Linked DNA regions of Macaca fascicularis. The protein of the gene in region 1 purifies or fractionates together with the protein of each later gene. This does not show direct contact. Links are inferred from orthologs where the notes say so. Each region holds a gene or a part of one and is shown in the gene's direction. Other genes may lie near its edges.

What was found. The genes of interacting proteins can lie anywhere in the genome.
Region 2: the proteins of DAPK1 (region 1) and IFI30 purify together in Homo sapiens (affinity purification with mass spectrometry; 3 studies listed by BioGRID and IntAct, counting the BioPlex papers as one, with this or other methods). This does not show direct contact. The link is inferred for Macaca fascicularis from reciprocal best matches to the Homo sapiens genes DAPK1 and IFI30.

What each region holds. Positions count from the first base shown.
Region 1 is NC_088389.1:118,134,636-118,137,378, forward strand, and holds the end of DAPK1 (death-associated protein kinase 1), read left to right. Parts: coding exon 1-953; intron 954-1,438; coding exon 1,439-1,472; 3' UTR 1,473-2,237; downstream 2,238-2,743. UniProt on the Homo sapiens protein: Calcium/calmodulin-dependent serine/threonine kinase involved in multiple cellular signaling pathways that trigger cell survival, apoptosis, and autophagy.
Region 2 is NC_088393.1:18,526,336-18,530,586, forward strand, and holds the start of IFI30 (gamma-interferon-inducible lysosomal thiol reductase), read left to right. Parts: upstream 1-1,449; 5' UTR 1,450-1,478; coding exon 1,479-1,610; intron 1,611-2,687; coding exon 2,688-2,870; intron 2,871-2,958; coding exon 2,959-3,033; intron 3,034-3,252; coding exon 3,253-3,345; intron 3,346-4,251. UniProt on the Homo sapiens protein: Lysosomal thiol reductase that can reduce protein disulfide bonds. May facilitate the complete unfolding of proteins destined for lysosomal degradation. Plays an important role in antigen processing.

The sequences.
Region 1 (2,743 bases):
CACCGCTCCTGGGCCGATGAGGAGGACGAGGTGATGGTATATGGCGGCGTGCGCATCGTGCCAGTGGAGCACCTCACCCCCTTCCCATGTGGCATCTTTCACAAGGTCCAGGTGAACCTGTGCCGGTGGATCCACCAGCAAAGCACGGAGGGCGATGCGGACATCCGCCTGTGGGTGAATGGCTGCAAGCTGGCTAACCGTGGGGCCGAGCTGCTGGTGCTGCTGGTCAACCACGGCCAGGGCATTGAGGTCCAGGTCCGCGGCCTGGAGACAGAAAAGATCAAGTGCTGCCTGCTGCTGGACTCGGTGTGCAGCACCATTGAGAACGTCATGGCCACCACGCTGCCGGGACTCCTGACTGTGAAGCATTACCTGAGCCCCCAGCAGCTGCGGGAGCACCACGAGCCTGTCATGATCTACCAGCCACGGGACTTCTTCCGGGCACAGACTCTGAAGGAAACCTCACTGACCAACACCATGGGGGGATACAAGGAAAGCTTCAGCAGCATCATGTGCTTCGGGTGTCACGATGTCTACTCGCAGGCCAGCCTTGGCATGGACATCCACGCGTCAGACCTGAACCTCCTCACTCGGAGGAAACTGAGTCGCCTGCTGGACCCGCCTGACCCCCTGGGGAAGGACTGGTGCCTTCTCGCCATGAACTTGGGCCTCCCTGACCTCGTGGCAAAGTACAACACCAATAACGGGGCGCCCAAGGATTTCCTCCCCAGCCCCCTCCACGCCCTGCTGCGGGAGTGGACCTCCTACCCTGAGAGCACGGTGGGCACCCTCATGTCCAAACTGAGGGAGCTGGGTCGCCGGGATGCTGCAGACTTTTTGCTGAAGGCGTCTTCTGTGTTCAAAATCAACCTGGATGGCAATGGCCAGGAGGCCTATGCCTCGAGCTGCAACAGCGGCACCTCTTACAATTCCATTAGCTCTGTTGTGTCCCGGTGAGGACAGCCTCTGGCTTGGGCAGGGTCTGTTTGGACTGCAGAAGCAAGGGGGTGGTGTAGCCCATCCTTTCCTTTGGAGATGCTGAGGGTGTTTCTTCCTGTGCCCATAGCCAGGGGGATGCCACTCCTCCCTCCGGCTTGACCAGAGAAAGCCTGTTTCTCTGCCGCTACCTCCCTCCCCCTCTCATTCCATTGTCTGTGGATGGTCATTGTAGTTTCAGAGCAGAGCAAATCTTTTACTTTGGCCACTCAAAAAGCTAGTGTACCTCCTCTCAGTGTTTCGGACTCCATCTCTCATCCTCCAGTACCTTGCTTCTTACTGATAATTTTGCTGGAATTCCTAACTTTTCAGTGACTTTTTTTAAACTACTATATTGATTGTCCTTTAAAAAAGAAAAGTGCATATTTATCCCAAATGTGTATTTCTTATACGCTTTTCTTTGTTATACCATTTCCTCAGCTTATCTCTTTTATATTTGTAGGAGAAACTCCCATGTATGGAATCCCACTGTATGACTTACAAACAGACAATATGTGAGTGCCTTTTGCAGAAGAGGGTGTGTTTGAAATCATCAGAGTCAGCCAGGAGCTGTCACCAAGGAAACGCTACCTCTCTGTCCCTTGCTGTATGCTAATCATCGCCAGAGGTGCTTCACCCTGAGTTTTGTTTTGTGTTTGTTTTCTGACAGTTTCTGTGTTTTGTTTGGCAAGGAAAGGGGAGAAAGGAATCCTCCTCCAGGGTGATTTCATGATCAGTGTTGTTGCTCTCGGAAGACATTTTTCAGTTTGCTTTTGTTCCAATGTCAATGTGAATGTCCACATGAAACCTACAAACTGTCACGCTTCCTCATTCCCTCTCATCTCAGGTAGAAGGTTGACACGGTTGTAGGGTTACAGAGACCTATGTAAGAATTCAGAAGACCCCTGACTCATCATTTGTGGGTGGCAGTCCCTTGTAATTGGTGCATAGCAGATGGTTTCCACATTTAGATCCTGGTTTGATAACTTCCTGTACTTGAAGTCTAAAAGCAGAAAATAAAGGAAGCAAGTTTTCTTCCATGATTTTAAATTGTGATCGAGTTTTAAATTGATATGAGGGAACATGTCCTAATTCTTCTGTCCTGAGAAGCATGTAATGTTAATGTTATATCATATGTATATATATATATGCACTATGTATATACATATATATTAATACTGGTATTTTTACTTAATCTATAAAATGTCGTTAAAAAGTTGTTTGTTTTTTCTTTTTTTATAAATAAACTGTTGCTCGTTGCATTCGTTTTGTTGATCTTTAATTCAAAAGGATTTCTTTTTATTTGTTGTGTTTTTACTGTTGTCATCCCACATAGCAGGACAACCCAGGCCAAAACCTACAAAATCATTACACCCAAACTCTCAGGGTTTTTTAGATGCTGATTATTACTAAAATTAGGAATGGTGTGGGAAAGTGAAAAGAGCCCAGATAATTTTCACATTTCTTCCCATTGTAAATAAAACAGGCCCCTTAGATTTTTCTTGGGTGAACCAAAAAACCAAATTGACTCTGTTCGTTTTGGCAATGGGGAACAGAGGAAGCTCTGCTACTTCTACACAAAAATGAAGGGGATGACACCAGGAGGAAGAGAAAACCTACAGCAAAAAGACCTTCACGCCTTTCTTACATTTTCAGTTCATTTTTGTTTCAAGCAAGTTGTCCACGATAAACATGATTAATGTTTATAACGAGAAAAGAAGTTCTGATGAATAAAATTAAAACTAGACATAGCTGTGTCTACAAAGGA
Region 2 (4,251 bases), on another chromosome or scaffold:
TTGTAGCGATTATATTTATGGTTATTTCTTCAATCCCACCCGGCATAGGGTAAGCACCAGACTTGAGGCGGTGAGTCCTGGGGAGGCTTTGAGAAGGAAAAGGGCTTTGCCAACGGTTTGGTTGTCTGAGGGATGGGCTTGGGGACCATCCAGCCCCCGGGACTTCAGGGAAACTCCGGCTCCCAAACCAGCTGCTGTGTGCGTGGTCGGGGTCTCCCACACAGCTAGAAGGGGGCACAGCTGGGGACTCAGCTATATCTTCCAGCCGTCTTTGGGACATTTTCTTCCTTAGGATCCGGTGTGTCTTGCCCTGAATGTGAGGCCCTGCAGGGTCTGAATGTCTCAATTATTCCCCCAACACTCCAACCTCCATCTGGGCCTTTTTTCCAGGCTATTCTCTCTGCCTTCACTGCTGGGGCCACTGTCCTGTGTAGGCACCAAGGCCTGACCATGCCACCCGGAAGCCCCAACCTGGGACAACTCTCCCCCCACCTGCCTCTGAGCCCTCCATGGTGACTCTTGTTCCCCAAACCTTATCCTTCTCCCCATTACACAGAAGGGAAAGCTAAGGCTCCGTCACTCAAATCCAAAGCCAGACGGACTCCAAGCCGTCCCACCCCTATCCCAGACAGCACAGGCCCCCGCTTTCCCCCATGGGTGCCCCTTGAAGGCCAGGTTGCCCCCCACCCTCCACAAGCCTTAGATGGTGAAAAGAAGGAAGGCCAGTTCTCTTCACCCCAAGTCGGAAGTGGGACTGGAGGGGGGGCACCCTAGAGAAATGACATGCCGCTCCCCTGTGCCAGCTTCTGCTTTCTGGCATGGCTGTGGTCAAGCCTGAGTCAGTCCCACGGGACCACGGAGCCGGGTCTGGAGCATCGGGGTCGGGAGCTTGAGGGGGAAGGATCAAGGGGCAGGACGTGGGGGTTGGGCGTGAGGGAGGTCACGGGCCAGGCTGGAGGGAGGGAACCTGGCCACACAGGGCTTGCCCACTCTCAGGGGGCTGAACATTTGTTACTCCCCCAACACCCCAGCCTCCATCCCATCCCCAGCCTCCATCCGACGTCACCCCGTTAGATCACAGGCCCACTCTGAGAGTGGGTCCCAGGCCTCAAGTCCCCTAGCCGCCCCCAGAAAGTCTAGGAGTGCATGGACACACCACCATTCCTCTCAGCCTCTTTGTATCTATCTCAAAGGCCCCACCTCACCTCCCCTAAAGGTCCTCTTGCGCCAGGGCTCACATGCCTAGGCAGGGCTGATTGCCAAGGGGCCCAGTGACCTCGTGACTGGGGACCCAGCACCTGGCAGGGGTGGGGGTGGGACACCCAGAGGGAGGAGTGGAGGAGGGAGGGACGCTGGCTCGGGGCCCAGGGGCGTGGGCACCGGGAGGCAGGCCCGGGTTAGGGGCGGGACCACCCCCTGGTTAAAGGCGCTCATTTCCCAGGCAGCCGCCCCAGCCGCCACACTTTTGCCCCGCAGCGATGTCCCTGTCGCCACTTCTGCTGTTCCTGCCACCGCTGCTGCTGCTGCTGGACGACCCCACGGCAGCGGTGCAGGCGTCCCCTCTGCAAACGTTAGACATCTTTGGGAATGGGCCGCCAGTTAACTACAAGGTAGGGACGGCGACAGGGCGGGCAGACTGGAGGGGACAGGCGCCCTGTCGGGGCAGGCGGCTCCTTCTTTCTCCCCAGACTTCACAGGGGAAGACCAGGGCCCCGACTGGAAAAACCCCGTTCATTTCCCGGCACTGCGGCCAGAGTCCCTCCGTGCCGTTTCGCTTTCGCATCCCGCATCTGAGACGCGCAGTTGCTTCCACCGCCTCGTCCCGCCCAAGGGTTCATTGAGCGCCTATTGTGTACTTTTGGGGCAGGAGCTGGGGTCTCCTTTTATGGTCCAGGGCACAAGTTCAGCAGCTGGCCGAGGGCCACCGGCATGCGTTCTTGCTGCTACCCCTGGTGCATTCATTCCAGCCAGGGCAGGGCTTGCGTGTCTCTGGGACCTATTAGGCAAATGCCCTAGAAGCTGAGCGACTTGCTCAGGGATCCAGCGACACGGGCCGCCCGCCACCCCTCAGCTGAAGCCGGAAGTCAGCACCTATTAGGTGCCGCCTCTGTTTGGTCGGACTTGGAAAGGGTTCACGTGGGTTCCTTGCTCAGCTCAGAGTCAAAGTCTCCTGGTGGAGTGGCAAGAAATGGGCATGGGCCAAGGCCGGAGGCGATGGCTCACACCTGTAATCCCAGCACTTTGGGAGGCCGAGGCGGGCGGATCACGAGGTCAGGGGATCGAGACCATCCTGGCTAGGCTAATACGGTGAAACCCCGTCTCTACTAAAAATACAAAAAAATTAACCGGGTGTAGTGGCCGGCGCCTGTAGTCCCAGCTACTCGGGACTGTAGTCCCAGCTACTTGGGAGGCTGAGGCAGGACAATGGCGTGAACCCGGGAGGCGGAGCTTGCAGTGAGCCAAGATGGTGCCAGTGCACTCCAGCCTGGGCGACAGAGAGAGACGCTGTCTCAAAAAAAAAAAAAAAAAAAAGTCTCAAAGTCAAGATTCCACCTGGCAAGTTCTGGAAGGTGTGCAAGATGAATTGCCTATGACAGCCCCCTTTCTACAAGAATACCAAGTGGGGTTCAGAGAAGTGGGGAACTGCCCAGGGCTACATCTGCCTCACACCCCTTCCTAATCCACAGATGGGCAATCTATACCTGCGGGGGCCTGTCAAGAAGTCCAACGCACCGCTTGTCAACGTGACCCTCTACTATGAAGCACTGTGCGGTGGCTGCCGCGCCTTCCTGGTCCGAGAGCTTTTCCCAACGTGGCTGATGGTCATGGAGATCCTCAATGTCACGCTGGTGCCCTACGGAAATGCACAGGTGCATGGGCGCTGGGGAAACTGAGGCACGTGGGCAGGGGAGCAGGGGACCCAGCCTGCCAGCCAGCTCTCACCCTGCTGCCTTGTAGGAACAAAATGTCAGCGGCAGATGGGAGTTCAAGTGCCAGCATGGAGAAGAGGAGTGCAAACTCAACAAGGTGGAGGTGAGCATCCCCAGGGCCCCACACCGGGGTGGGGGAAAACCGTCCGATGTACAGGAGGTAAATATGAGGATACCAGCTTTGTCTTCTGCCTCGTGTGCTCCCATTTAATCACATCTTTATTCCCTATCTCCTGGGTGGGTACTGGTGATTATTACGAGAGGGTGTCAGGGTACCCTGGGCCCTCTTCATGCCCTCTCCTGTCCCCTCTCCAAACCCCAGGCCTGCCTGTTGGATATGCTTGACATGGATCTAGCCTTCCTGACCATTGTCTGCATGGAAGAGTTTGACGACATGGAGAAAAGTCTGCCACTAGTGAGTGACGCCCCTCACTCCCCACGAGGAGGGGGACAAGGGTGGTAACCTTCCCTACACCCAGGCAGACTCAAATTCAAGTCTTAGCCTTGACCACTGCTGTCTGTGCAGCCCAAGAAAACAACTACCCTTCTTTATTTTATTTATTTATTTATTTTTTTCTTGAGACGGAGTCTCGCTCTGTCACCCAGGCTGCAGTGCAGTGGCACAATCCCGGTTCACTGCAACCTCCACCTCCCGGGTTCAAGTGATTCTCCTGCCTCAGCCTCCTGAGTAGCTGGGATTACAGTTCTGTGCCACCATACCAGGCTAATTTTTGTATTTTTAGTAGAGACAGGGTTTTACCATGTTGGTTAGGCTTGTCTTGAACTCTTGACCTCGTGATCCGCCCGCCTAGGCCTCCCAAAGTGCTGGGATTACAGGCATGAGCTACTGGCTCTGTGCCCGGCCGTTTTTTTTTTTTTTTTTTTAAACAGGGTCTTGCTTTGTCACCCAGGCTGGAGTGCAGTGGTGCGATCTTGGCTGACTGCAACCACTGTCTCCTCGGTTTAAGTGATCCTCCCACCTCAGCTTCCCTAGTAGCTGGGACTACAGGCGCGCACCACCATGCCCGGCTGATTTTTGTATTTTTAGTAGAGACAGCGTTCACCATGTTGGCCAGGCTGGTCTCAAACTCCTGACCTCAAGTAATCCTCCTGTCCCAGCCTCCCAAAGGATTACAGGTGTGAGCCACCACGCCTGGCCCCAGCCTCCCCTCTTGAAACTTCCATCTCTGAATCAGGGGAATGAATGCAGGTCTCTTAGGAGCATGAGTGATCACGGAGGACTTACTGGAGGAGGCATTTCTGAGCTGGTCATGGAAGGATGAGCAGGAATGTGCAGAGACACAGATGATAGGATGTGGAG